Linked DNA regions of Macaca mulatta. The protein of the gene in region 1 purifies or fractionates together with the protein of each later gene. This does not show direct contact. Links are inferred from orthologs where the notes say so. Each region holds a gene or a part of one and is shown in the gene's direction. Other genes may lie near its edges. The genes, in order: TNS2, DTNB, SNTB2, UTRN and DMD.

Region 1 (6,594 bases):
GCTACTTTTCCCCTCGGGACTGGCTCATAGGGATTCCATCCCTGCCTCCCTTCTGAGGTGTGAGTGCCACAGGATGGGAGGGACTCACAGCCACAGTGGATCCTGACCACCCCACCCCTCACCGGACTCACTGCTTGGGCATCTCCTTGCTGGGTCTGGGTGGGGAGTGTGAGACCAGTGAAGGTGAGAGGATGTCTGGGGACCTGTTCCAGGTGAGGGGACTTTCAGCCCCTATGGAGGCAGCAGATCGAATCCTGTAGAGTCCTGGTCAGGGCCATGTGCCATAGAAGGTGGGACTGGACAGAAAAAAGCCACCCCCACCGCCCACCTTGTCACACTGCCTCATCTCCCCCAAGCAGGGCTGGGGGCTGGACAAGGCCAGGCCCGGTTGCCCACACTGGCCAGGGGCCTGGAATGTGCTGGGACACAGCCAGCCTGGCAGGATGGGGGTGGGTCGCAGAGCCCGTGCTCCTCTCCAGTTACAGGCTGGGGGCCCAGGCCTGCCACACAGATGCCACCTTCTGGCCAGGATATCCTGGGGACACACTTCTTGGCCTGGAAAATTGGAGCTTCAAGGGAGAGGTCTCAGGCTAGGCCCAGCCCAGTCAGGTTCTCACAAGGGTCTCAAGTGGGCACCCACAGCAGGCCTCACCCCAGAGAATGCAGGATTCTCCATCCCAGAGAACCCTTCCTGATGGGTATGAAGGAGCAGGAGGCAAATAGAAGGGATCCCGTGGGAGAAGCCAGGGCTGTGGGAGTTGCCTGAGTACTGGGACATTCAATAAATACCATGCAAATGAGAGGGGCACATTTGCACATTCTTTCAAGTGACAGCTACAGCCGGTCCCAGGGGCTGCTGTCCACAGCTTGGGGCTGAAGACTCCCAGGCCATTAACCCCTTAGCTTTTAGGGAGATTACTCCCCCTTTTCCAAGGCCCCATCCATCTCCCTCCCTTGACTCCCAGGACGGGAAGTTGGCCATGTTCCCAGGAGGGAGGCGGGAGGCCCGTGGATGGGGGTGGAGTATGTGTTGGGAGAGGGGACCTCCTGTCCAGTCCTCAGGCCCTGGGACAGCTGCTGAGGAAGGAGAGCAGACCCAGGAGAGCCATGAAGGTAGTACTCAGGCTTCGGGGTTGCAGCAGGGGGAGGGTACAGCCCTTGGGTGGAGAGACCAAGTTGCAGGGCTGGAAAGAGGGCTAGGGATCTGTGAGATCATGTCTGAAACAAAGCCAGGGAATGGGTGAGTGGGGGGCACTGTGTCAGGAGCAGAAACCTGGGGCCTTTCAGGAGAAGGGCCTCATATGCCTTAGGCTGTGGCAGGAAAATGGATTACTCCCCAAACCTGAGCAAAGCAGTCTTGTGGCTGGAACTTGGCCTTGCAAGGTGTATTGAGGGTAAAGGTGGGCGGTGCATGCTTTCCCTTTCCTACTTCATACAGAGTTAAACTGAGACAGGAAGGGGGCCCCCAGTCCCATTTTTACCTGACTCTCAGGACACATTCGGGATCCTGGGCCTGCCTGCTGGTAGTAGTTCCCAGCTCCACTCCCTCCCCAGCGGAAGTCCCTCGAGGGCTTGAGAGTTCTGGCTGGAGCCTGGCTGGGACACACTGTTCCCCACTTGCCCTTTAGCCCTGCCCTGAGACCAGAATTCTCACCCGGCCCCACTGGGGGCAGGATCTCAAGACCATGGATCCCTGCAGATCCCTGGAGAGTGTGGTGTCCCAGGTGTGGGACAACTCCAGAGTTGGGGAATGGGGGGAGCAAAAGATCACAGGCTGACACTCCCAGCAGGGTAGATCCTGGGAATCTGATCTCCTGGCCTCCCCCACATCCTCCCCCCTCCACTTCCTGGAGCAGCGACCTGCCCCCTTCCCGCCTGCACTTCCCTCCACGTCCAGGGCCGGGCTTCTCCTCACACCAGCCAGACAGCCTACCCTCCGCCCAGGGGAAGCGGCTGCCTCCGCCAGGCCGCTTCCAGGAAGCCCCGGGCCAGGCCCCAGCATTGTTCAGGCCCTGGGGCCAGCACCCCAGCCAGCAGAACACCATGAAGTCCAGCGGCCCTGTGGAGAGGCTGCTCAGAGCCCTGGGGAGGAGGGACAGCAGCCGGGCCACAAGCAGGGTAGGAGTGCCCACCAGCTGGGCAAAAGAGGGGCAGGGGTGGAGGTGTGGGCAGTGGGGGAGGGGACCTGGAATCAGGCCAGGCCCTCTTCCCAATTTCAGCTTCCTCAGCCTTCTCTCCTGGCCCAGCATCCCCTCCGGAGTGGCCAGGGCTGTAGTGTGAGGGGATGTTTGGGTTAGAGTGGGTACCGCTGTCTGTTTTGGCTCCTCTCACCTTCCCTGCTCTAGCCTGGGTCAACCCTGGGGGTCCTGGCCCCCCAAACCTAAGCCCCAGGTACCTCACTGTAGGACTTTGCCACGCACTATCCAGGTATCCTAGAGCAGACTCAGAGATCATCAGGCCCCTTCCCGGGCCCGGGGAAGTTTGAGGAAAATGGGGTGGCAGGGCAGAAAAGGAGAGAGGAGAGGGAGTCAGGAGTGCTTTCGAACTGGAGGTTTGCTTTCCACTGACAGCATCCATATCTGCTGCTAATGCCTGCATGCTCCCAAGTGTCCTAGTGGGTCCCACAAAGTTGGTCCAGCCCAGAAGTGTTGCAGGGACAGTCAAAAAACCAGAGATGCTGCCCACATCCCCATCACTCCCTTTCCCAACTTCCCAGTCTTGCCCCAAAAGCAGCAGCTCAGGACAACCTGAGAGACTACTGTGATGGGTCCCCAGGATGAGGACAGCAGGAGTCTGAACTCCAGAGGAGGGGGAATATGGGTAAAACAGAGAGGTGGCAAGGAGACAAGCTGTCCCCAGACAGAGGATAGGAGGAGTGAACCCACAGTGGGAGGGGAAGGGACTGAGATAGGCCTGGGCCATAAGGGGGCATCCCAGGCTCCTGCTTCACTGCACCTCTGGATCAGGAGGGGCTGAACAGAGAATCTGGTCCACTCCTTCCTCATTCAGTGTGTGAATGAATCCCAAGTGCCAGGGGGCAGGGGGTCGGGGGAGACCTCACAGCATCCAAAACCAGCTAAACATCTCTCCCAGTGACAGGCCTCTGTTTCCCTCCAGCATGACCACCCCCCTTATCCAATTGCTGTCTGCTGCCTCAATGCACAATGAGTAAACATGTTGTTCTGACCATGGGGGAGGAGGGCATGTCAGCTGTCTGGAGCGTGGGGACAGCAGGAGCTAAAGGAGCAGGACTGGCTGAGGCCACTCCTGCTGGCTCAGTCTGGTGCTGCAGGACTGACATACAACAGGTATGTCTGGAACCTCCCTGCTCACTCTGCACACAGGTCTCCATGAAGGGAGGACAAGACGGGAAGAGTCAGGGAGTACCCCTACTGCACCAGGGGGAAAGCCTGAGCATGTGGGCTTTCCACAAGGGCATCACATACCAGGGCCACGTGAGGGGCCCAAGTGATCCCCTGGGGAGGAGCTGACCCAGCAAAGGTGACGCAAGGGGTCAGATTCCATACACAGCTGAGGACAGGCCCAATGACCGCCCTGAAGCAGCTGTGGCCAAGTGCGTCCTACAAGTTTGAGGGCTTGATCTGGATGGAGGAAACCAGTGCAGTGCTAAGGCAAGGCTCCTGCCCAGTCCCAGAGATGGAGATGGGCCCACTGGGAACTCACACCTCTGTTTGTCCTTCCACCCTCAGCCTAGGAAAGCTGAGCCTCATAGTTTCCGGGAGAAGGTTTTCCGGAAGAAACCTCCAGTCTGTGCAGTATGTAAGGTGACCGTCGATGGGACAGGCGTTTCGTGCAGAGGTGAGGTGCTCTGTCCTGTGACTCTGAGACCCTCCACCCAGTACCACTGTGTTGCACAACTCCAGCAGGCCAACTCACACAATCTCAAATGTAATATGCTGCTCCTGGATTAGGCACAATGGCACCTAAGAGGCGGCTGCCTCCCCCTTCACATGGCCCTGGCTCCCCATGACAGACACCCCCCACAACCCAGGAGACCCAGTATTCTCCACCATCTTCCCATCCTGACTTGTGACTGTAGTCTTCCTTCCCTCCCTTCCTCCTCACCTCCACCCACCCTGGAACGTTACCCCTGGCCTACGCAATAGTACCCCACTGCCACACTCTTCCCTCAAAACCTAGCCCTGCTCCTCCGCCCTAGCCAGCCCAGTCCAGCTGGGATCCTGGAAGTCCCAGGATCTGGTTCCAGGGTCTGGGAGATGAGGGAAGGCCATTCCTTCCACTGTCCCACAGGCCCCTGCTAACCCCTCTCCTCCCCCTACCTCCCCTAGTCTGCAAGGTGGCGACGCACAGAAAATGTGAAGCAAAGGTGGGTATCTGATTCTACCTGATAGGGGGAGAGGGTCTGGAGTCCCTTCCTCCTCCCAAACAGGCTTCTCCAACCACACTGGCATCAACCCTCCACCTCCACCCCTCTCACCATTGGGGAACCCCTCCTGGGTGGGAGGGGTGCTGACTGGGCCCTTTAAGAACCACCCTACTCCGCCTTCTGGAGGGCTGGCCGGCCCAGGCGGGTGGACAGCGAGACAGCGTTTGTCTTGGTGCTGTGCCCAGGCTGCAGCTGGCGAGAGGATGGGGGTGGGGAAGAGGAGGAGAATGAGGAGGAGGAAGGGTGGGGTGGGTGGGGGGTGGGGGAGCAGGATTTCAGAGACTGGGCAGCCGGATGGGCTGTGCCTTCCCTCTGGGGAAGGGTCCTCAAAATGCCTGGGCGGGCCTTGTCCTGGGCCCTGGAAAAACTGGGCCTTTCCAGAAATAAGCTGTAGATAGCACCCACTGTCCACTGGGCACCCAAGACAGCCCTATCTCTGAGGAGGTTCCCTGGTCTTCCTGCAGGGCAGGGAAGGAGGGTCCCAGGGCCCTGGAGCTGGCTTGGGGGAGCTGTGTGCCCAGGGGCGGGGTCTCCCGGTGAAAGAGGCCAGTGTCCGTCCCTGGCCATGGCCTGCCTGCGTGCTCTATATATAACTCCTGCCCTGCAGCTGGATGAATGGGGGTCTGTGTGGGCTGGGGGCTGAGCGCCAAGAGCAACAAGTGGGGGGCCTGGGGGGTGGGGGACCAAGAGGCCAGAGGGGAGGTGCCCTTAAATAGCACAACCTCAGCTGGAGCCTGTGCCCATCCGCTGAAGGCCCCTCCACCTTCCTCCTGAAGCTGAGGGGCTACCCCATCCTCAAGCCCAGGAGAGCCCTTCACCAGGAGCTCAGTTCCTTACTCGGTACCCTTCCAGGTGACTTCAGCCTGTCAGGCCTTGCCTCCCGCGGAGTTGGTGAGTGCGCTCTGGGATGGGGTGGGGAAGGCAAGGAACCTGGCCATGGTGTCCAGAGGTCTGGTGGCTCCAGAGAGGGCCCCCAGGAGATGACCTTGAATGTAGTGCTGTGGGTATTGCTCATCCTACAAGGAAAGAAAAAACTGTCTAAGTCCTCTGCTGATCTTGTGCCCTTGGGCCTGCTGGGGATAGAACTCCTCTCCCTTTGTCCAGTACAGCCTTCATCAGGACACTGACATTCCCTTCCACTGTTCCCAGGCCCACAGTGGTCCTTGCCCCTGCTGTAACCACTCCCTTTTCCTCCCCCATCTCCCTCTAGCGGCGAAACACGGCCCCAGTCAGGCGCATAGAGCACCTGGTAAGGTGATGCTGGAGGAGGAGGGGGAAGCAGGTAGCTTTGGGAGTAAGGATCTAGATTTCCTGAAGACAAAAGTGTATGGCTCTGGAGTGGGCAGTCTAGAGTAGGGGGCACCCAAAGAGATGTCCAGACACTGTCTGTTATCCACCAGGGATCCACCAAATCTCTGAACCACTCAAAGCAGCGAAGCACTCTGCCCAGGTAAGTGAGGGTGCTGGGGTGGTCCCACGTGACCCCCTTTCCGCCGGCCCCACACCTCAGCCCAGGGCGCTGCCCCTCAACAAAGCTCCCCGGGACAGCCCCCCACCCCCAAAGCGGTATTCTCTCTCCGGACCGACCCACCCACCCTCAGGACCCACCAGGCTTCACCTGCTGCCCAACAGACAGCCTTCCCATCACACTAGCCACCTCCGGGTGCCCTGCCCCTGCGTTCATGCGTAGGCTCCCCCTCCCCAGGAGCTTCAGCCTGGATCCGCTCATGGAGCGGCGCTGGGACTTAGACCTCACCTACGTGACGGAGCGCATCTTGGCCGCCGCCTTCCCCGCGCGGCCCGATGAACAGCGGCACCGGGGCCACCTGCGCGAGCTGGCCCACGTGCTGCAATCCAAGCACCGGGACAAGTACCTGGTGAGGGGCGGGGCCATCAGGAGTCAGCCAATGAGAGGGGCGTGGGGTTCAGATGGGCGAGGCTAATCACTGACGTCACCAGTGGAGGCGAGGCCGCCAGTGGGCGGGACCAGAGGAGTGGGGGTGGGGTGGGGTGGGGTGGGGTGGGGTGGGGTGGGGTGGGGTGGGGTGGGGTGGGGGCGGGGGCGGGGGCGGGGCCCGCAGTGGCGCCTGGAGCGGAGCGGAGTATCCAGGAGCGCTGGCGACTTGGCTGTGAGTGGCTAGGCCGGGCCTTAACTACCTTCTTATTTTCTTTCTTTCTTTACTTTT
Region 2 (5,274 bases), on another chromosome or scaffold:
CCAAACACATGCACACACACACGCACATGCCAACCAAATCCCAGCATTCATGTGGAATGTTCCTGGCTGAAGACGTAACAGCTGCATCTCTGGCCTCCCTTCACCTGCCCCTCCCTTCCCCAGTAGCTTTTTCCCATGGCCTCTCCTCAGTCCCTTTCACTCCCCCAAAGCAAACCTAGGACTCTGCCCCAGCCACTGAGGCCTTGCCCTGGCTACGAACTCCAGCCCTTATCCTGGTTCCATTCTGAGTGTGGGCCGTGCCTCACATGGGAATCTGACCGTGTTTCCCTTGCCCGGCGGCCCTCCAGGCCCCAGGGCGTTATCTTTGTACCTACACTGCCCTGTCCTCATCAGACTGGGTTTCCCTTGCCCGGCCCTCCAGGCCCCAGGGCATTATCTTTGTACCTACACTGCCCTGTCCGCATCAGACTGGGTTTCCCTTGCCCAGCCCTCCAGGCCCCAGGGTGCTGTCTTTACACCTGCACTGCCCTGTCCTCATCTCTTGTTTCTGTGCCTCTTGCCCTTAGAGCTCCTTGTCTGTCTTTCAATGCATATACTAGAATGTCTGTATGTCTATGTGAAATCTTTTTGTGGGAATGCCTGAATTTTATGTGACTTGCTGGTGTCATCCCTAAGGCCAAGAGTGTTAATAGTTGGGGTGAGAGATGGTAGAGTGTTTATGTTTGGCTCTCCACATTATATAGGTCCTATGATATGTCCCTGAAACTACAATGTAGCTGATACATAGGCATTTTTCTAAGACTAAGTGTTTTTGTGGGTGGACCTCCTGATTCTCTGCCATGAGCTAGGCCTGAAATTTTACAGACCTAGAACTAACTGCAGTCACCTGGACACCAGAGATCTGTAACTGTCAACTGTAAAGAGAGAGAGAGAGTATATTTGCCTCTTTGGGGTTGAAACTATGCTGACGTAATATAAACAGAATTTGGTCAGCACTGTCAGGCAAACAGTCTGCTCGATAGGGAAACTCTTAGAGTCAAATGGGACTTTTGAAGAATCTGGACCAAGCTGAACTTCCCTGCCATATTCACCCCTACCTCACGCCTCTCCCTGTTCGCCCCTGGCTGGCTGGCTGGCTGCATCCTGGGGAACGCTTCTGCTCCATTGGGGTACCCTTCCTCCTATGCATCTTCTCAGAGAAGTGTAACCAAGACACATAGAAGAAGCACAGACTGACACCTTCCCCCATAGTATGTCTTCTCCACCCTCCAGAGCCTCATGTTACGCTCCTGTGTCCTTCAGAATCTCCCCTCCCAGACCCTGCCATCCCGGTGTGGGGGCTGTAAATCCAGTTTGCATCCATAAAGAGCCCTGGTGCAAGGCTGGACAGCAGTGGCCCTCAGAGAACAGAACAGGCTCGGGAGGGGCCAGGCAGTGCTCGAGCCCCGGGTGAGCAAGCGCATGGCTTTTCAAAGCAGACTATCTGCAGGAGGGGGACTGCCCTCACCCAAGGTGCAGTCCCTTGGGGAACTTTTAGAGCTGGGTAGGCTTTGCCCCCCCTCATGTAACTGCTCCCTGGATTTAAGGAGATTTGATTCCATTTTTAATGACTTTCCTTCTCCTGGGAAGCATCTGTCTCCATGGCTGCCTTGGGTTGGCTATGATAGTAGAAAGTATGACTCTACCCTGCTGTCATACCTGGGTGGGAAAAGTCAACATACAAGTAACAGGGGAGAAGCAAGGAAGCCCCTGGGGTGGGTGGTTCAGGGAAGCATAGTCTGGGGCATGAGAAGACCTGGCCGTGACCTCAGCGTGTTGTTTCTGCCCGTGCTGCCACAGGTTAGCAGAGGAGCCGGACACAGAGGAAGCTCAGGTGAGTACAGAGAGTCCTCTGCCTCCCCACGGCCCTCCCTCCTTCCTCAACATCTTCCCTTCCCCTTCCTTTCTGCAGTCACAGGTCCCAAGCCAGGACGGTCCTAACAGGTGAAGATGCAAGAGCTCGACTCCCTTCCCTTTGCCCACCCTGGCCATGTGCCCTCCTTGCCCTATTTCTAGGCCGTGTCCTGTCTTGCACGGCACTGTCTGCATGCCTGGTCCTTGGGCATGGCCTGGTGACCTCTGTGTTGGGATGACGTTGGCAGACCCAACACCGTTGGCTGAAACAGGGCGTGCTGAGCAAGGCCACCTCCCTGGGGAGCACTGCCTCCCATGCTCCTTTACCACAGCCACTGCCCACTTCCTTCCTGGGATCCAAACCACAGCCAGTGCGTCCCTGGATTCTGTCACCCAGCACTGCACCGAGTCACAGTCCCTAACCCACAGACATGTGATTCATGCAGGATCACGCTACATACAGGGCTGACCAAGCCGCTACCCATGGTGCCCGGCCAAGCTGCACCTTCTCACTTCCCGAAGAAGCAGTGCAGGAAAGTACAGACTGCTCCAGTGGCAGATGCTCATTGCCTTTAGGAATTAGTCATTCCCATTTTCCATCTCAACACCTTAACTCTTTCTAGTCCCAGCGCCAAGATATCAGACTTCTCCATTTTAAAATCTTGTCTTCCCTCCCCCTTCCCCTACTTCTCATATTTAAAAATTAGGCATCTTCCTCAGATGAAAAAGCCAGGGCCCTAGCCCCACAATCCAGAAAAGGAGTTTTTTCAGACTTTCCCAAGTCTTGTCATCCTGGAATAGCTTCTGGCCCTCTCAGCCCTCTCTGCCCAACTGCGCCAGGCCATTGAAGGGCTCTGCCCGTTCCCCTGGGGCCCCTGCAGCCTCAGCCTGCGCTGACTCTGGATTGTGCAAGCTGAGAGGTGGGCAGCACCTGGGCCACGCGCATTCTCTCGCTGCCCTGGAAATCACAGTGCCCCAGGGGCTTGGAGAGACGCTTCTCCCTAAACTCACTGTGCACATTCAGGCAAGGCCCTTTCCCAAGCAAGCCTAGGCCGTGGCAGCCGAGGAGGGAAATCAGGAACTGACTCGCCCTGCAGGAGCCTGCCAGAGCCCCTCTCTCCCCCGGGCGGAAGGAACTAGGGTGCAAGGAAACGTGGCAGAGCCATGTGCCCCCACCGCCTTGTTGCACATGGAGGAAAACAAAGCCCCACACCGGAAGCTGTATGCCAGAAGCAGAATTGGAGCCGGTTCTTCTGCCTCCTAATCGTGCACTCTCTGACCCACATCAGGGGTGATGAGAAACACCAACAGTCGGGAGTTAAACTATAAGCATTAAACTTGGGCGCCGCGGTTCCATGGATGCCCGGGCCTGCGCTCTGATGGCCTGGGGCTGAGGCTTCCTCCCTTTCCTCTTAGTATTCATCGGCACACGTCAGTCCTCCCTGCCCTTCTCCTAGGCCACAGTTCTCCCCAAGAAAGCACCCCATTCCAAACCTTGCATTGTGAACCCAGTTCTCCATGGAAACACTTCCTGACTCTTAGGAATGGTAGTAGAGGACCTTAGGTACCACCCTTCAGCTCAGCGCTTGAAAGGCGCCCAGCATCCTAGCAGCCCCTCCCCGCAGGGCCTCCTGTTCACAGTAGATGTTAGCAGCTTTTGTCCTGAACCCTCAGCAGTGCCCGTGACTAACGGTGAGTGTGTCTTGCGCAGGCACAGAGGACGAGGAGCAAGCTGGCGCCGACATGGCGAAGGCAAGGTCTTCCCCCAGAGGCACATTCCTCTCCATCTTTCCACCGCACACCTGGACCAGGCTTGCAGGCTGCCAGACGTCACTCCACCCGCCAGGGAGAGGGGAGCCAGAGCCGGTGGGAAGCGGGGAGGGGCTGCGTGACACAGCTGGTGGGCCTCCCCCTGCACAGCCCTGCATGTACTAGCACCTTCATCACTCCCCTCAGGGCATGGTCTCATCTCCGCATCAGGAATTTACCTGGAGGTTGAAAAGAGAAAAGAAAAAGCACCAAGCTCTTGTGTGTTTGTGACCTGATGGAACTCTGCCTGGCGTCTGGCCAGCACGTGGGGTGTTCCCAAACGTGGGGGCACAGGTTTCCTTATCTTTGACCTTTAAGAACCAACAGGTTTCTTCTAGCGTGCAAAGAAAGCGTCAGGCCTTGCTCGGCTCTGTAGACATTCACACCCTGGCCACGGTGCTAAAAATAGCCTCACACTGGTTAGGCTTCCGCCCGCCCTGTGTGATGCCGCCGCCTGCAACCCGGGAGGGAGGGGCGGAGATCGAGCCGCGCGCCGCGCGCCGCAGCCCGGCTGGCCGCCTGGCAGAGGGCGGGAGGGACTCTCTGCGCCGCGGACTCCGTGGCCGCCAGGGGGCGCGCCGCCGGGGGCGCTGCACGCAGCCTTTCGCCTTAGGGGTCCATTGGGCTCGGGTACACGTGATCAAGTCCCGTTCCCGGTGATTTTCATTTATTTTTTTCCTCCTCCCTGGGCTCCAGGATGTTATTTTTAGCAGAAGAACTGCTATAAATATTTATAAAGGGCAGTGATTGTAATGAAGCGAGAAGCCCCACAGCTGGCTCCCTGGCATCCCCCACCCACCTCTGCAGACCCCTGACCTTGGCTTTGAGGAGGTCTGTGCAGAGCCGGTGGGATCAACTCCTGGCCGCGCACGGATGGAGTCCCAGGGAAGCCTGCCAAGGCCCAGTCAGGGTAAAATAGAAGGGGTGGGTATTCACTCCTTCCATCCTTTTCTTCTCTTCTCCCCCATAGCTCATCTTCCCATTGGTTGGCACTGTGTCCCCCCGAACTTTCCACGGGGTTCCGCTCACCGTGGCCCCTCTCTGGCCTTCCAGGCAAGCAGGGATCCCTGTTTCCAAGGGCATGGGGCCCTCTCCTCTGCCCAAGCCCCTGCTGACTGTGTCCTCAGCTCTGAGGCCAGCACTCAGGTACTGGGTGCACTCTGGTGATGCTGGTTCTTGCTAAGGTTGATGTCTTGTAGAGCTAGAATATCCGCCATTACCTAAGCCCCGAGCTCCCTCATGACTGTTGGCATCTGCTTTAGGACCCACATCCCTGTCAGACGTTTGGAACTGGGTCCCTTTCCTCAACCCTGGCGAGGAACACAGATGGTCATCACAGAAGGAAGATGGGCACTTCCATCTTAATTGCTCTGGGACCACTGAGCAGCCTAATTTAACCTAGGTAGACGGTCTTTTGAGAGACTGCGGCATCACTGATTCCTGGGTGAGCCAGGCTGCCATGCAGCACCATAGCCTGGGCTGGCGCTGTTTTTCTGTGCCAGAGGACCCCTGGAGGGCTACCTAATACATCGTGGGTCTTGAGGAAGCAACAGCTCCACCGAGTTCTTGTCCATAAGTCCCAGCCATCCCGAGCCTCCTCTTCCCTTCGTG
Region 3 (5,840 bases), on another chromosome or scaffold:
TGGCACCTACCATTCCACTTTCTGTGAGTTTGACTGCTGTAGATACTTCATAAAAGTGGGTTCATACATTATTTCTTTTTTCGTGACTGGCTTATTTTACTTAGTATAATATCCTTAATGATGTGTGTTGTAACATGTGTTAGGATTTCTTCCTTATTAAGGGGTGAATAATGCCATTATATGTATATACTACATTTTGTTTATCCATTCATCCATTGATGGACATTTGGGTTGCTTCCACCTTTTGGCTATTGTGAATGATGCTGCTATAAACATGGGTGTACAAATGTCTCATAAAATTATTTTTTAAGTTGATTGTTTTGATCATGTTGCCCTCCTATTGAGAATCCTAAGTGATTCTATGTTATTAATAGTTACCAATTAAGGCCAGGCGCAGTGGCTCACGCCTGTAATCCCAGCACTTTGGGAGACCTAAGTGGGTGGATCACTTGAGGTCAGGAGTTCAAGACCAGCCTGGCCAACATGGTGAAACCCTGTCTCTACTAAAAATACAAAAATTAGCCAGGCTTGGTGGTGTGTGCCTGTAATCCCAGCTACTTGGGAGGCTGAAGCAGGAGAATTGCTTGAACCCGGGAGGCAGAGGTTTCCGTGAGCCGAGATTGTGCCACTGCACTTCAGCCTGGGCAAAGAGCAAGACTCCATCTCAAAAAAAAAAAAAAAAAAAAAAAAAGTTACCAATTAATATTCAGACTTAACCTGCTGTTCAAGACCCTCTAAATTCTGGAACCAAGCTACCTCTTAATATACGTAGGTATATAATAGGAAATCAAATAAAGAGCTCATCAGAACTGTGTCTAAATAAAAAGCAAATAGCTTAAAACTTGATATCTAAAGGTTTTCCTCTGAGTAATATGAACTTTCAAATACAGACTTTTCTTAAGCCTTTTGGCTGTTCACAACTCTTATTTTATGTCTTCTGTTTTCTAGAACTTTTGTCCTATTTTGCTGTTACCATAAAACTTTGACAGCATATAAAAGATGGATAGACTAGTAGGTAGGCCTGGAAGTAGCTAGATGATACACTTTTTTCATCACTGTATCTCCAATACCAGTGCCTAGCACAGTATTTGGCATATAGTAGGTGCTCAATAAATGTTTATTTAAGAAAGTATAGACCAACCAGAATTCAAATGAAAATGAATATTTGTAATACGAAATATGACAACTTAAAGTATTTGGAATTATAAAGGGCTTAGAAACTGTGACAAAAGAGCTTCAAAGCAGAAATGCTGGTGTACTTGTAAATTGCTTATCTTTTTGACAAGTGGCATAGAATCTGATGATAGTGCCTTTAGGCAACAAAAACTGTCTTCAGAAAATAATGTAAAGAAAACTCACTCCCTGGTCATTGGCGGTTTGTGAATTTGTAGCCTACCATGAAAAACACTCCTAATTGCTTTTTTTTTTTCCATTTTAAAAGATATGTGTTCACAGCAGAGTATATATGTTATTTATTTATTTATTTGACTTTTAAAATTCATCTTTGCAAGAACTTTGATTAAAACACAAAACAATATTCAATAGATTGCTTTATAAAGAATTTGTTCAATGTATATTTAAAATATTTTAGCAGTTTTCTAAAGGTTACTTTTGAAATATAGATTGTTCTTGGTGAGCATTAACTAATACAGAACAGTCATAGTGTTGATCCCTTAACTATTTTTCTTTTTTCTTTTTTTTTTTTTTTTTGAGACAGAGTCTTGCTCTGTCGCCCAGGCTGGAGCGCAGTGGCCAGATCTCGGCTCACTGCAAGCTCCGCCTCCCGGGTTTACGCCATTCTCCTGCCTCAGCCTCCCGAGTAGCTGGGACTACAGACGCCCGCCACCTCGCCCGGCTAGTTTTTTGTATTTTTTAGTAGAGACGGGGTTTCACTGTGTTAGCCAGGATGGTCTCGATCTCCTGACCTCGTGATCCGCCCGTCTCGGCCTCCCAAAGTGCTGGGATTACAGGCTTGAGCCACCGCGCCTGGCCTTCCCTTAACTATTTTTCTACCATAACTCACTGGATGAGTAATCACATAAAAGTACCCAAACACAGTTCTAAATTTTCATAAAGAGTAATAATCTGCTAATTTTCTTTTTTCTTTTTTTTTTTTTTTGAGAGGAAGTCTCACTTTGTCACCCAGGCTGGAGTGCAGTGGCGCGATCTTGGCTCACTGCAATCTCCAACTCCTGGGTTCAAGCGATTCTCCTGCCTCAGCCTCCTGAGTAGCTGGCATTACAGGCATGTGCCACCATGCGTGGCTAATTTTTGTATATTTTAGTAGAGATGGGGTTTCACCATGTTGGCCAGGCTGGTCTCAAACTCCTGACCTCAGGTGATCTGCCCATCTCAGCCTCCCAAAGTGCTGGGATTACAGGCGTGAGCCACCATGCCCGGCTGCTAATTTTCTATTTATTTCACATAATGTAAATTTCAGTTCATTATTTGGCAGTACACATTTTTAAGCTGGCACTACTTTATACCAGAATTTCCTAAATGTTTAAAAGAGTATCAGTTCCTTCTTTTCAATGTGCCTATATGGTTCAGCAAGCATGCTTTTCATTTCTTAGACATAGAAATTAAGGTAAAGTTATCTACTGTAGACTACAGTAAGTTCCCTCAGCTTATTACTTTGACACTGAAACGACAGATCCAGCAGTTGGTGTTTCTTTAATTTTTTCTCGGGTTCAGTAACTAGCCCAAGTTGGTCTTTCTGATTTTTTAATATATTTTATTTATTTATTTATTTATTTATTTATTTATTTATTTATTTGAGACAGAGTCTTGCTCTGTCACCCAGGCTGGATCTTGGCTCACTGCAACCTCCACCTCCCTAGTTCAAGCAGTTCCCCTGCCTCAGCGTCCCGAGTAGCTGGGATTACAGGCGCCCGCCCCCATGCCCGGCTAAATTTTTTGTATTTTTGGTAGAGTCGGGATGTCACTATGTTGGCCAGGCTGGCCTCAAACTCCTGATCTCAGACAGTCCATCTGCCTTGGCCTCCCAAAGTGCTGGGATTACAGGAGTGAGCCACCGCGCCCGGCCTCTGATTTTTATCTTTCCATATGTTGTTTTCTTTGGAATTGAGCTCTAGGGAATTAAGAGAAAGTATCTTTTTTTTCTTTTTTTTTTTTAGATGGAGTCTCGCTCTGTCACCCAGGCTGGAGTACAGTGGTCTGATCTTGGCTCATTGCAACCTCCACCTCCCGGGTTCAAGCTATTCTCCTGCCTCAGCCTCCTGAGTAGCTGGGATTACAGGCACCCACTACCATGCCCAGCTAATTTTTTGTATTTTAGCAGAGATGGGGTTTCACTGTGTTGCCCAGGCTGGTCTCGAACTCCTGAGCTCAGGCAATCTGCCTGCCTTGGCCTCCCAAAGTGCTGGTATTACAGTCGTGAGCCACTGTGCCTGGCTGAGAACGTATCTTTTTTTTGAGACGGAGTCTCGCTCTGTCGCCCAGGCTGGAGTGCAGTGGCCGGATCTCAGCTCACTGCAAGCTCCGCCTCCCGGGTTCACGCCATTCTCCCGCCTCAGCCTCCCGAGTAACTGGGACTACAGGCGCCCGCCACCTCGCCCGGCTAGTTTTTTGTATTTTTTAGTAGAGACGGGGTTTCACCATGTTAGCCAGGATGGTCTCGATCTCCTGACCTCGTGATCTACCTGTCTCGGCCTCCCAAAGTGCTGGGATTACAGGCTTGAGTCACCGCGCCCGGCCTGAAAGTATCTTTATTTGAGTATACAGATGTATTTGAAAATGCTAAGTTAAAATAGATTTGCAGTTATGTATTTTAAACCTGGCAGGTTTGGTGACTTCTGTCCTAGCTCATTTTTTTTTTTTCTTTTTCCACACAGATTGATAGAGCTACATTCTCCTGATAGCAGGAACACGTTGATCCTACGCTGCAAAGATACAGCCACAGCACACTCCTGGTTCGTAGCTATCCACACCAACATAATGGCTCTCCTCCCACAGGTGTTGGCTGAACTCAACGCCATGCTTGGGGCAACCAGTACAGCAGGAGGCAGTAAAGAGGTCAAGCATATTGCCTGGCTGGCAGAACAGGTAGGCTGGGAGGCAGGTATCACCTGGTTCCCATTCAGAGCCAGGATGGTTCCTCATTTTAGATATCTGTAATACTTAACATGCAGTTAGGTCCTGGATATCTAACTTGCAGATCTTTTGTTTTTCGGTCTTTTGTTTCACCTTCCTTTTTCTCCTTCTACCTTTGGCTATTTGTTGCTAATTATCCACTCAACCAGAAGTAACTGACATAGTAATCACTATCATACTGTTACTAAAAAGAAGTTCTTATTACCATCTCTATCCTTAATGACAGAGGATAATTTTCATGATTTTAGATCAGGTTCAGCTAACTTTTTCTGTAGAGGGCAAGATAGCATCACAACTACTTGATTCTTCTGTTGTAGCAAGACAACTGTAATAGGCAATAGGAAAATGAATGGGTGTGACTGCGTTTCAGTAAAACTTTATTTACAAAAACAAGTAAACTGGTGGTTGGCTGGATCTGGCCCAGGGGTCATAGTTTCCCAACCCTTGTTCCTGACTAGAAGAGCTTCTAGGGGCAGCAGGCTGTAGTTGATTCCCCTGCTCTGGGAAAAGTATAAAATATACAAACGATTTTACAATTAGACAGAGGTACAATTGTCTTCCATAACTGAAAAGTGAAAAAAAAAAGAAACAAGAAAGCCTGAGTAGATGTTGAGTGAAAGGAAAAGAAGAACTTGAAAGCCCAAGTTATTTTAGATCCCAGGTTTGACAAAAGGAGAGTAAAAGTTCTATGTGACATTATGTTACATCTTTTTTCTTCACCATCAGCTAGGCTAGAGGGGCTTGAAAAAAAAAGGACTGGACTAGGGGGTTCAGAGATGAGTGTTTAAGTGCTAGCTCTGTTTTTCACTGCTTTTGAGTCTTTTTGAAACTTACGTTTTGAATCCTAGTTGTGTGTGCAAAGGGCCAGGGAGTGGACTAAATAACTGGTTCCCAAATACAGCAGAATCAGCACAGGAAGGATTCTGTTCTTTCAGTTTTGATTTTTTTTTTTTTTTTTTAAGTACAGTTTCCCACTGGTTCCCACCTTCCACCCCAACATAGTTCTAACTTTTTTTTTTAAGCCCAGGTTGATTTTATTTATTTGAGGAGGATATTGTCCTCAAAGCAGTTCTGATGTGGTAGATCTGTGGTGGTGCCTGGTGATCTTGGTGGTACCAAGTAATTGTGGTAATTCAGGGGCCAATTTTGGTCACCAGCAAGAGTAATTTTTTTATTTTATTTTTTGCCACTTCTCAACTTTTTATGAACATTTCAAATAAAATTATAATGAGAATGTAATATTAGTACAGTGATCATTTCTATAAAGCATAATTAGAATAACTAATAAATGAGTGAAAGTCATGGTATAAGTACTTATGACTTTGAAAATTTTAACATTTTAGTTGTGTTTATCATTGTTTCTATATTTTATATGCTAGTTGAAAACTTGAATTGAATGGTAATTGTTCTGTGCTTCTGGCATCGTTCAAAATCCTCATGATTTTAAAAAGGTAACACATTCACATGGTTGAAAAATCAAACAAAAAATTAATAGGTGAAAAGTCTTGCCCTCATTCCTGTTACCTATCCACCTGTTATGCCCTTTGCCCTGGGAAGGTAACAACTCTTATTCCTTTCTATTGAATCTTTTGAGAGTTTCTTTATGCAAATAAAAAGAAAATATGAGGCAGGATGTGGTAGCTCATACCTGTAAAACCAACACTTTGGGAGGCTGAGGTGGGAGGATCGCTTAAGACCAGGAGTTTGAGACCAACCAGGGCAATATG
Region 4 (5,840 bases), on another chromosome or scaffold:
AGGATGGTCTCGATCTCCTGACCTCGTGATCCGCCCGTCTCGGCCTCCCAAAGTGCTGGGATTGCAGGCTTGAGCCACCGCGCCCAGCCGTGATCAAGTTTTAATCATCTCTCTGACATAGCTTGCCGTCCACTACTCTCCTAATAGCCAGACTTCTTCTGCCCTATTCTTTCTACAAACATACGCTGGTGGTCAGTGAATAATTCCTGCATTTAGATATTCACTCTTTAAATATCTGTCAGTTGAAAGTTTCCTCATGTGTTTGAATTAATACCATCTGAACATTTGTGTTTAGATAATGCCTTCCTTCTCGACCTCATGGATACTGGTGCCTATCTCAGTGACTTTTGGCTGGTCACTAACTTTCCTGGTTCTTAGATATTCTCATTTTAGTATAGAGGTTTGTAGCTAAATGATCTCCAGGGGTTATTTTAATTCTGCAGTTTTAGGATTTTTGGTCCATAACTTAACTCATTTTTATTTCTCTGTCTTTGGCACCATCTGTCTTTCAATTATCCATGGTTTCAACTCTGTGCTGATTGGCTCATTTCTTAACTCATATATTCAGTTTGCTGGATTCTTCAAGTCTTCCTCCAAAATGTCTTTTGTGTGTGTTTTCATTCTATTCCAGCCTTCATACTAATTAAAGACTTCATTTTCTCCTATAGTTTACAAGATGTGGCCTACCTCTGCCACTCTGCCCTGCAGTTAGAGTGGACTTTTTCCACTTTTTCCCCAAGATTCTTGTTCGTGCAGGTTCCCATCTGTTAAATGCTTCTCCACCCACCATTATATGGCAGGCTGCACATTTTTCCTCAGTTTAAATGGAGCCTTTTCAGAGAAGTCTTTTCTGATTAATCTATCAAAATACAACGCTCTGTCTGCCTCTCTCTTTCTGTCTCTCTATCTTGGTTTCTTGCTATCACAGTATTTTTGTAAACTGTGCTAAGAATTTTAAATTATATCTTAAGAGCATTGGGAAAGCCAGCGAAAGGTTTTCAGCAGGTACGTCTTATGATGGGATTACATTTTTGAAAGATCATTCTGGCTGCTGTGTGAGAAAAGGACTGTGGATTATGAAGGTGAGAGTGTTGGGTGGGGGAAAACAGTAAAGTAAAGGCAGTTGTTAGCAGGTATTCCGGTTCAGAAGATGGATGTAGGTGGTCGTGGAAAGGGAAAGGTCTGGATGGATTTGAGATAAGTTTTGAAGGAAGGTCAGAATTACTTACATATTAAATGTGGAAGGTGAAGGAGAGAAGCCGGACTGGCTCCCAGGTTTGTAGCTGGAGTACCTAGTTGTAGGGAGGAGCTTCTACTGAGATGGAGAAGCCTGAGGAGGAACAATTGGAATAAAGTGAAGGGTTTGAATATGAACATGGTTTAATATTCCTAGGAGGCATTGAAGTAGAGATATGAAGATTAGTGGGATATGAGAGTTTGGAATCCAGACTCCTAGGTGGTTCTAGATGGTTCTTTAAATCCAATAAGAGTAGATGAGATTACTCAGACTATAGAGAGGGGAGAAAAAAGAGCCCAGGACTTAATTTAGGGGAGACTCATTACTTATGAGTCAGCAGCTGCTGTTGAACCAGCAAGAAACCAGGGCAGTGTCGCAGAAGCAGGGAAAGAAGCTTCCGGAAGCTGAGGTTGCTCAGCCTTGAGGAATGCTACCGAGGGCTGAAGCAAGGAACGTGGGTGGCCAGCTCTCTGGGCTTTCTTGGGCAGTTCTGATTTAGATTTATTGTTCGAGCATCGTTATTATCAAAAATTAGTTTGTTGGTTAATTATATGGTCACCGTGAAGATGATGCTGGAAAGGTCCGTTTGGCAATGGGAAGGTTATTGGTGACATTGGCAAAAGCGTTTTCAGTTGAGTCATGGGGCAAATAGCAAGTTGAAGTTAGAGGGAATGTTAACAAACCGTAGCTGTTAAATACCTGAGCATTTTTTGTGTTGTTCTCTATACATTTCTGTACGTTTGAAATATTCTACTTAAAAATTATGCGTGAGAGTTGATAAAGTAGAGACGGAATGTAGGCAAGTCTTAAAGAAGTCTTGCTCTGAAAAGGAATAAAAGAACTAGGGAGAGTCAATTTGGTTATAAGCTCTTAAAGTATATAAGGAAATACTCAGTTGTTTAGAAAGAAGTTGAAAGAAATTTATTCCATGAGCCCTAAAAGGCCATCAAATAAACCAGAGGGCAATTGCCTAAGAAAAATACAATCAGTACAACAGCCTGTGTGGCTGTCTTTTAGTGTCTAAAATGCAATGATAGAATGCAGTTCAGCAAAAACAATTTACCTAAGGGTCAAAGCAGAAGTCTCACTTTTCTTTTTCTTTAAATTACAGAAAAGGCCCAACATGCTGTAACTCCTCTATGAAACTTTCCTGACTGTTTTAGCCTTTGTTGAACTCAAATATCATGCCTTGTTGGGACCATGCATGGCATTTACAACTTTTCTAATAGCTGTTTTTTAATTTCTGTTCAGAAGTGATTCATGTAGGTTCTCTGTCCCTGACTATATTAGAATCTCCTTGAGTACAGAATTCATGAGTGCATGCTGCTTTTATACTCTTTGCTACCCTAGTGCACTTACTCAATGCTTCAGACTCATTCACGGCTGTGCCCACCTGGCTCCTGAGAATTGGATTAGTGCCTAAGACAGAGTGGTGTCTACTTTGGGTTTGCCATACAGTGTGAGTTCGCTAAACACCTCTTGCTTTCATTGTAAGTGTGGGTTTTTCTTGGCTTTGTTTTTACAGAGTACAGCGCCCGAGGAGAAGCATGAGATTCCCCGAGCTGAGACCCCCAGCACTGTCACTGAGGTTGACGCGGATCTGGACAGCTATCAGATAGCATTGGAGGAAGTGCTGACCTGGTTGCTTTCTGCTGAGGACACTTTCCAGGAGCAGGATGATATTTCTGATGATGTTGAAGAAGTCAAAGACCAGTTTGCAACCCATGAAGTAAATATCTGTAGTTTCTTAGCAGGGTGTGTCCCCCACGGTACCTGAGTCTTAATTAGGGACTCTACTCTCCTATTTGTTATCTACCGAATTCTGTTCTTTGGAAAGGTCAATGGTTTATTTCAGGAACTGTGATATTTAAATAGTGCTTTGTTACATAATTGGTATGGGTCATTAAACTGTGCCTCAGAATTAGATTTTAGATTTTAGTCTCCTTGTATGTTTTGGAGAGCCACTGATGAAAATCATTGCATAGTACTGCTCAGTTCTGAAGTGCATTGTTATATTTGAAAAGCGAAGGAGTGAACCAGTACACCAAATCTTTAAGATCTGAGTGTTCCCTAGGAAATGATTATTCTTTTTAATTGCATGATTAGACAAATGTCATACCCAGGGTTCCTGTATTTTTTTATATCTTAAAAGTTTCCTGCTCCTTTGAGGACATACTATATTGCAGCATAGTGAATTTCACTATATGGAGATTTCTTTTGGTTAAATTTTTCTTTTGTATAAGTATGTTAATTGACAGATCTTATTTGTTGTTTTGGATGGAAAATAATATAAGTGGTAACATCTCTTAAATAATTCCTCTTGGGTGAGTATGGTATTTTATTTTATATTTTATATATATATATATATATATATATATATATATATATATATTTAAATAGAGTCTTACTCTGTCGCCCAGGCTGGAGTACAGCGGCGTGATCTCGGCTCACTGCAACTTCTACCTCCTGGCTTCAAGCGATTCTCTTGCCTCAGCCTACCAAGTAGCTGGGACCATAAACATGTGCCACCACGCCCAGCTAATTTTTTGTATTTTTAGTGGAGATGGGGTTTCACCATGTTGTCCAGGCTGGTCTTGAACTCCTGGCCTAAGTGATCCACCCACCTCAGCCTTCCAAAGTGCTGGGATTACAGGTGTGAGCCACTATGCCCGGCCTTTTATTTATTGTATTTATTTAGAATTTCATGTCCATGGTCTATGAGTAGTGTAGTCAGCATTTACTTTAAAATAGCTGGTATTATCAGGTGCAACATTGCTTGCTTTTAGCTATGTCTCTTTTAACTTATGGCAGGTGATTATTCCTATTTTCAGAGCTTAAAAAATGGGGTCAATGTCTGCACTGTTTGCACTCTACTAGGCTACCTTTTTTTGCATCACTGACATTTAGGTTAGGCATTAGCAATTTGTTCAGTTTTTTTTTTTTTTTTTTTTTTTTTGCACCGAGTAACTCACAAATTATACCAAATGTCCCTTTCTAGGCTTTTATGATGGAACTGACTGCACACCAGAGCAGTGTGGGCAGCGTCCTGCAGGCAGGCAACCAACTGATAACACAAGGAACTCTATCAGACGAAGAGGAATTTGAGATTCAGGAACAGATGACTCTGCTGAATGCTAGATGGGAGGCTCTTAGGGTGGAGAGTATGGACAGACAGTCCCGGTGAGTGGAAAGCCAAGAAATGCACTTAATTCCACAGGCTGCTTTGCACAGTTGAACTCTAGGAGATGTCTGCATGTCTGTGAAAGCAAGATGATTACAGAACTTGCCTCGGAAAAGTAAGACTCTTTTCTATGGGTAATATTGCTGGAATTTTGCATGATCTTTGTTTCCCCTTTGGTGTGCTAGCCGTACCAGAAGGTAAAAGTTGGAATACAGAACTTAACAAAAAGGGAAAAGAGGACAGGCCTGATGGCTCATGCCTGTAATCCCAGCACCTGGGAGGCCGACGCGGGTGGATCACTTGAGGCCAGGAGTTCGATACCAGCCTGGGCAACATGGTGAAACTCTGTCTCTATTAAAAATCCAAAAATTAGCTGGGCATGGTGGGCCACGCTTGTAATCCTAGCTATTTGGGAGGTTGAGGTTTGAGAATTCCTTGAACCAGGAGTTAGAGGTTGCAGTGAGCTGAGATTCAGCCACTGCACTCCAGCCTGGGCAACAAAGTGAGACTGTCTCCAGAAAAAGGAAAAGACATTTCATATGGGCAGTTACTTATTTGCAATATTAAAATCAGCTAAACATTAACTTGGTGTGAAGACAGGACTATGTAGTATTGATCTACTTTTCCATTTTGTAACTTTTATTTTAAAGCTTTCTCATGGTTTATTTTATTTCATGTATTGTATCTTCTGGAGCAAACTTCCACCTATTTAATAAGTAGGAATTCCTGACTGAAGAAATAATGATTCTGATATGAATACAGGGTGCTGTTATTTGCATTCTTTGTCTGCATTTAATGAACTCCATTTAGGAAAAAATAAAAGTTTACTTTCCTGGCTTCTATATTTAAAGACTAAATGCTACCTAGAATGTTTAGACAAGGGTGTTTTCCCTTGCCCTGTATCTCTGGTGCCCAGAATGTGTATTTGACTTTGCAAAGGGAAAAGGCTTGTAGGAATAATGCTGTGCTCCCCACGGGCAGGCTGCACGACGTGCTGATGGAACTACAGAAGAAGCAACTGCAGCAGCTCTCCACCTGGTTAACACTCACAGAGGAGCGCATTCAGAAGATGGAAACTTGCCCCCTGGACGATGATGTACAATCCCTACAAAAGCTGCTAGAAGAACATAAAGTAAATCTGTCTCGTATTTCTTTGATACCTTACCAAATATGAAAGAGCAGCACTTAGCATCTCAGAGGCTGATGATGTCTATCATTAACATGAAGTTGCAACACTTCTTCAGGGTTCTCTTCATTTAGTAGCTCACGGTGGAATTGATGGGGATGAGACTTTTCTGAGCCAGGGATAAAAGGGCAGGGTAAAATTTTATATGTGATGTGCAGTTTTCTTATGAAAGTACATAGCTTTCATACAACTGGAGAAGGGTTCTTTTGACCCTGTAAGTGGTGAAGAACCCTACC
Region 5 (5,840 bases), on another chromosome or scaffold:
TTTTGGAGGCTTTGAGAGAGTCTGTTTTTTGGCATTTTTAGCTTCTAGAAGCATTCCTTGGCTCATATCCCCATCCTCCATCTTCAGTGTCAGCAGTGTAACATCGTCCAGTGTCAGTTTCTCTCTCCCTCTCTATCTCCATCTCCCTCTCATTCTACCTCTCCTCCTCCTCTTCCTCTCCCTGTCCTGTTCCTTGTGTTGACTTCCTTTTAATTAGGACCTTTGTGATTACATTATGCCCAGGTGGATGATCCAGTATAATCTCCCCATCTCAAAATCCTTAAAGTAATCACATCTGCAAAGTCCTTTCTGTCATGTTGGGTAATGTACTCACAGGTTTCAGAGATTAGGGTGTAGACATCTTGGGGGTAACATTATTCAGCCTTCCATGGTAAATAAAGCAATATGGGAAAGGTTGTCACAGTAGGCAGGAAGGAAATCTAACATAAACTAGAAAAAAAGATTGTGAAATATTATTGGAACATAGATTATCTCTGCTATAGATTGAATAGGTAGAATTTAGTTAGATAATACCGAGAAAGGAAGAGTTCTTGAGAAAGCATCGCAGCATTTTCAGTTAACTGGAATAAGTTCAACATTGGGGAGACAATATATATGGGGATTAATAAAATATTATGGTTGGAAAACTGGTTTGGGAGTAGACAGTGAATGGCCTTGGATGCCACGTTTTACGATCTGAGTTTTAATCTAATGGTAATGAGAGTGATAACAATAACAATAAGAAAAAACTGCTATTGGTTAAAGAGGGAAATAATATGATTCCACTTGTGTTTTCAAAACACTCCCATGGCAAGAGGAAGGAGGAGAAGAGAAGATTCCTGGCTTCACTGTAGATCAATAATTAGAATGAGGTAAGACCGAAGCAGATATCAAAATGAGCCAGTGCATTAATGGAGTCAGTAATAAGACCTGAACAGACCAGGCATAGTGGCTCACACCTGTAATCCCAACACTGTGAGAGGCCGAGGTGGGTAGATCACGAGGTCCAGAGATCAAGACCATCCTGGCCAACATGGTGAAACCTCGTCTCTACTAAAAATACAAAAATTAGCTGGGCATGGTGGTGCACACCTGTAGTCCCAGCTACTTGGGAGGCTGAGGCAGGAGTAATCACTTGAATCTGGGAGGTGGAGGCTACAGTGAGCCAAGATTGTGCCACTTCACTCCAGCCTGGGTGACGGAGCAAGACTCCGTCTCAAAAAAAAAAAAAAAAAAGACCTGAGCAAGGACAGTGAAGATGTGGAAAAAGAGCAAATGTAGACTTGAAAGACAACAGCAAGGTGATCATGTTGAAGTTCTCTGACTTAGATAAGTGCTTTAAAAATTATTATTAATCATCATATTAAAGGGGAAACTTTCTGTGGAGCATGTATTTTCAATATACATTTAAGTAAATTGGAAGAAAACTCATGTAGACAGTAGAGTTCAATCATACTTTTTAAAAGTAGCGAAACAGCAGAAAGAAAGGTAATATGGCAAAGAATCATGGATGAGAGATATTGGCTATTTATAAATGATAAAAGATGATGATTTTTACCTGATCATTACTTCATACTGGTCAGACAAATAAAAACAAAAGCTCTCTCTTCTAAGATGACAAAATCTTAGTCCGAAAGTTCACAACTGGAGGGACTATTTAAACTGTCATCTGTAGAAAACAATTTGTGAAGTTCGAGTTTAGGGAGGCTATGAAGACACCATTACATTGAGTTTATTGTTCATAGTTTGTTTTATGTACTGTAAGGGCATATTGTTAGTATTCTCATGAGTTGTTTTGTAACTTAAAATTTCTCTAGAGGGGGATATGATTTAATGTTCTTGAGAGTAACATCATAAAACCGCATTTGGTAGTAATTTTTTATTTTTAACAATAGCAGACTTCACACACCAGTGCTCATACAGTAGACCATAAAAACGCAGTCTTAGTAAAAATATTCTTTTCCTCAAGAGCTACTTAGAGACATCCTTTAAACATGGGAATCGTTTTTGGGCTTGTGTTTAGACATAACACAATGATGAATTGTATTAGAAGTAATCAGCACACCAGTAATGCCTTATAATGGGTCTCGTTTCAGAATCACATACAAACCCTGAAGAAATGGATGGCTGAAGTTGATGTTTTTCTGAAGGAGGAATGGCCTGCCCTTGGGGATTCAGAGATTCTAAAAAAGCAGCTGAAACAGTGCAGAGTACGATTTTTATATGATGTCTTTAATATGAATAATTTTGTATGAATATTACTTGGTTAGATCAGTGTTTTACAGCTGGGGTGGATTTTGCCCTCCCCTCACCAGCAGATGTTTTTTTTAATGCTTGTAGACATTTTTGATTGTCATAACTGGGTTGGGGGTGGTGGTTAGATGCTACTGGTGTCTAGTAGGTAGAGGACAGAGATGCTGCTAAGTATCTTTCAGTCCATTGAACAGCCCTCCACAACAAGGAACTGCACAATCTAAAATGTCACTAGTGCCAATGTTGAGAAACCCTGGGTTGAGTAAGTGAGGAATTGAGAAAGCATTGCCTTGTACTCAACGTCAGTTGATAACATTATTTTGCTATAAAATGCAGTATAATTTAAAGGTAAAGAATCCTTTGAGCTACTTGTTATTTCTTACAACAAATTATTATTCATACTGTGTTGTTCTCTTCATGTATAATGCACTGTACTATAACACAATATGTAGTTTTGAAATAATATTCAGTATACCACTGTCATGCAGCAGGAAGAAAATAATCTTGCTCTTTAAAGAATTTTTTTTTACAATACAAGCTAAAAAAGCAAATCCACCTTCACACCCATTACACTGTAAACAATTATCTGCAATATCCTGTGTTTGAAAATGAAAATACTAACCAAGATAGTAAAGTATGAAGCCCATTTTCACACATTTTTCTAACCAGAAATATTAGATTTATTTCCTTTTGTTTCTGATATAAGTAAAATACAAATAATTCCCCACTGGATTCATGCCATAATAACCATTGAACATTTTTGCAAGACTGTTATGCAGTTGTCTATATCAATATATTTGTATCTCAGATTTTAAAAGACAAAAATCCATATGCGATGCCATCAGTCCTAATTTTACATTTTCTAGCTATGTTGCATATTTAATATGTGGCAGTAATTTTTTCAGCTGGCTTAAATTGATTCATTTTCTTAGCTTTTAGTCAATGATATTCAGACAATTCAGCCCAGTCTAAACAGTGTCAATGAAGGTGGGCAGAAGATAAAGAATGAAGCAGAGCCAGAGTTTGCTTTGAGACTTGAGATAGAACTGAAAGAACTTAACACTCAGTGGGATCACATGTGCCAACAGGTATGGACAATGTCTTTCACTGTGGCTAGTCTCAATGTAGTTAAGATTTCCTAATGTCTCCCTTCACCATTACTTTTGTTTAAGGCTTTGTTCCTACGCTGTTGCTTTAAAGCACAATTAATTCTGACAAATTAATCTTTTTTCTAGCATATATAAATATTTTCATAGTATGTATTTTAAATAGTACACATTCATCTTATTGTGGTCCTAAAATGACTTTCTTGAAACAGCTGTCATACTGAAAAATGAAATCCTATTCGTAGTCATTATTTCCAATCCACGTTTTCTTCAGAACATAAATGTATAATAATAGATTAAGAAAAATACATTTCACAGGGATATTTGGTACAAAATAAAATGAATGGGTAATATATGTGTATGTAGAAATAGGGTAAATAATTTTTACTTTTGATTAACATTTCCAAGTTTGGCCTCTTCAATACATTTATTATTTATTTATTTTATTTTTTGGGACAGGGTCTCCCTCTGTGCCTCTGTCACCCAAGCTAGAGTGCAGTGGTGTGAACTCGGCTCACTGCAGCCTCAACCTCCTGGGCTCAAGCAATTATCTCATCTCAGCCCCCACAAGTAGCTGGAACTACAGGCGTGTGCCACGATGCCTGGCTAGTTTTTGTTATTTTTTTGGTAGCAACAGGGTCTTGCTATGTTTCCCAGGCTGCTTTTGAATTACTAGTCTGAAACAATGCTCTTTCCTTGGCCTCCCCAAGTGCTGGAGTTACAGGTGTGAGCCACCACACCCGGCCGACATCTATTTTTAAATAACAATTAAGATTCAGTAACCATTAAGAATAGCTGAATAAAAAAAAAAACCACAAAATGACTGTACACTCATATTTGAGTTTCTCATTTTTCTACAGAAGAATATTTTATAGATACCTATTTTATAGTTAAATATTAAATGATGGATAGTAAGATACATTAAAAAATAATGTATATCAAATAATTTGTGTTCAGAAGGTAAAATTTTGAACTAAAGCAATGAATACTTTTAAGTCACCAATACATTAGTCCCTGATGATCTGCAGTTTTGCTTTCCATGGTTTCAAATGCTTGTGGTCAATTGGAATCCTAAAATTGGCGAGCACAGTAAAATAAGATACTTTGAGAGGGAGAGAAAGAGAGATAACGCGTTCTGTTTTATTAGCTGTTAATCTCTTACTATTCCTAATTTATAAATTAAATTTTATCATTTGTATGTATGAATAGAAAAAAACCTAGTGTATATAGGGTTAGGTATTATCTATGGTTTCAGGCATCTACTGGAGGTCTTGGTATGAAAATGCCTTCCACAGATACAAGGGAACTACTGTGCCTTTTTGGAAATTAATAAGGAGTTTCAATTTACGTGTTAGAGGCAGTCAGTCTCTCGTTACTGCTAAGTAAACTTTCAAAATAGAAAAGAAGTAATGTCAAAAGGCAAAAGCTACATTTGAAAATGAAAAAAAAATTAGAAAAGTCAAGGCAAATCACTCAGCTAATACAATCACTGACAAATGTTCATTGGTTCTATTAATTCATAGATGAGCTATCCCTGGGTCAGCTAGCTCATATTCTTCTTCTGAAGTAAGTCAGTGCTAGAAGAGTTGTTCAGGAAAAAAAAATTATATTACTTAAATAGTAGATTATACTACTGATGTTTTCTTGGAAAGCCAGTATGAAAGGTATTTGTTTTTTGTTTGTTGAATGTTCTTAATGGATGAATAGAAAGAGCACCAATTTATGTAGAGTAAGGGGAAAACAGCAAGTAAATGAATAAATAAATAAAATAAATAAAAAAAGGTATAAAACTAACAATATTACTAAAACCTCAAGGTTTTTACATTTTATAGGAATACAATTTGTAAAGGCTGTCTACTCTTAAAATTTCTTTACTTAAGACCTTATGTCTGTTATATGTACTAAGAATTTGTTGTTCAAGAGAAATATTTTAAATACATTCATCTGTTGCATAACAGAAGAGCTATAGATCAAGCTATGTTCTGATCCCCATTTTCTAATCTTAGAGTATTATATGTATCTGTGCTTTTCCTTCGAGTATCACTCTGGCCATGTTATGACTTTGTAGATAAATGAGTTAGGTTGTGAAAGGAAGGAACAATGCACTAATGTAGAAGAGGAACAAGATGCCGTAAAAACAAGGAAGCCAGATGTGAATACTGGTACCAATTCAGCGTTCCAGAGAGAAGAATGGAAATGAAGTGTAAATCTATGCATTACAGAAATATCTACAGACAAAATAAGTGTGTGATACAGTCTTTTGGGTTAAAGATAATTCCTTATTTGTCACCAAATGCCAATGTCTGCAAAAACATAAATAATTTGGAACAAAATTGTCCAAATATCTGATATATTTGAGGATGCTTTGACATCCCATGATCTAATTTTGGATGTATAAAATGATTATGATTATTTTAAATTCTAAAGGGTATGTATCTAAGTTTTTAAAAATCTAGATTCTAGCTATTAAAAAATTACCAG

Evidence for each region.
Region 2: the proteins of TNS2 (region 1) and DTNB purify together in Homo sapiens (affinity purification with mass spectrometry; 3 studies listed by BioGRID and IntAct, with this or other methods). This does not show direct contact. The link is inferred for Macaca mulatta from reciprocal best matches to the Homo sapiens genes TNS2 and DTNB.
Region 3: the proteins of TNS2 (region 1) and SNTB2 purify together in Homo sapiens (affinity purification with mass spectrometry; 4 studies listed by BioGRID and IntAct, with this or other methods). This does not show direct contact. The link is inferred for Macaca mulatta from reciprocal best matches to the Homo sapiens genes TNS2 and SNTB2.
Region 4: the proteins of TNS2 (region 1) and UTRN purify together in Homo sapiens (affinity purification with mass spectrometry; 4 studies listed by BioGRID and IntAct, with this or other methods). This does not show direct contact. The link is inferred for Macaca mulatta from reciprocal best matches to the Homo sapiens genes TNS2 and UTRN.
Region 5: the proteins of TNS2 (region 1) and DMD purify together in Homo sapiens (affinity purification with mass spectrometry; 3 studies listed by BioGRID and IntAct, with this or other methods). This does not show direct contact. The link is inferred for Macaca mulatta from reciprocal best matches to the Homo sapiens genes TNS2 and DMD.

What each region holds. Positions count from the first base shown.
Region 1 is NC_133416.1:60,186,422-60,193,015, forward strand, and holds the start of TNS2 (tensin-2), read left to right. Parts: upstream 1-3,031; 5' UTR 3,032-3,164; coding exon 3,165-3,308; intron 3,309-3,710; coding exon 3,711-3,819; intron 3,820-4,310; coding exon 4,311-4,348; intron 4,349-5,260; coding exon 5,261-5,299; intron 5,300-5,618; coding exon 5,619-5,657; intron 5,658-5,808; coding exon 5,809-5,858; intron 5,859-6,113; coding exon 6,114-6,285; intron 6,286-6,594. UniProt on the Homo sapiens protein: Tyrosine-protein phosphatase which regulates cell motility, proliferation and muscle-response to insulin. Phosphatase activity is mediated by binding to phosphatidylinositol-3,4,5-triphosphate (PtdIns(3,4,5)P3) via the SH2 domain.
Region 2 is NC_133418.1:99,627,685-99,632,958, forward strand, and holds the end of DTNB (dystrobrevin beta), read left to right. Parts: intron 1-1,263; exon of another isoform or gene 1,264-1,410; intron 1,411-1,800; coding exon of another isoform or gene 1,801-1,805; exon of another isoform or gene 1,806-1,834; intron 1,835-3,565; coding exon 3,566-3,853; 3' UTR 3,854-3,876; downstream 3,877-5,274.
Region 3 is NC_133425.1:64,874,054-64,879,893, forward strand, and holds part of SNTB2 (beta-2-syntrophin), read left to right. Parts: intron 1-1,459; exon of another isoform or gene 1,460-1,947; intron 1,948-3,854; coding exon 3,855-4,065; intron 4,066-5,840. UniProt on the Homo sapiens protein: Adapter protein that binds to and probably organizes the subcellular localization of a variety of membrane proteins. May link various receptors to the actin cytoskeleton and the dystrophin glycoprotein complex.
Region 4 is NC_133409.1:49,688,308-49,694,147, forward strand, and holds part of UTRN (utrophin), read left to right. Parts: intron 1-2,762; coding exon 2,763-2,966; intron 2,967-4,235; coding exon 4,236-4,417; intron 4,418-5,399; coding exon 5,400-5,550; intron 5,551-5,840.
Region 5 is NC_133426.1:32,394,854-32,400,693, reverse strand, and holds part of DMD (dystrophin), read left to right. Parts: intron 1-2,096; coding exon 2,097-2,210; intron 2,211-3,185; coding exon 3,186-3,341; intron 3,342-5,840. UniProt on the Homo sapiens protein: Anchors the extracellular matrix to the cytoskeleton via F-actin. Ligand for dystroglycan.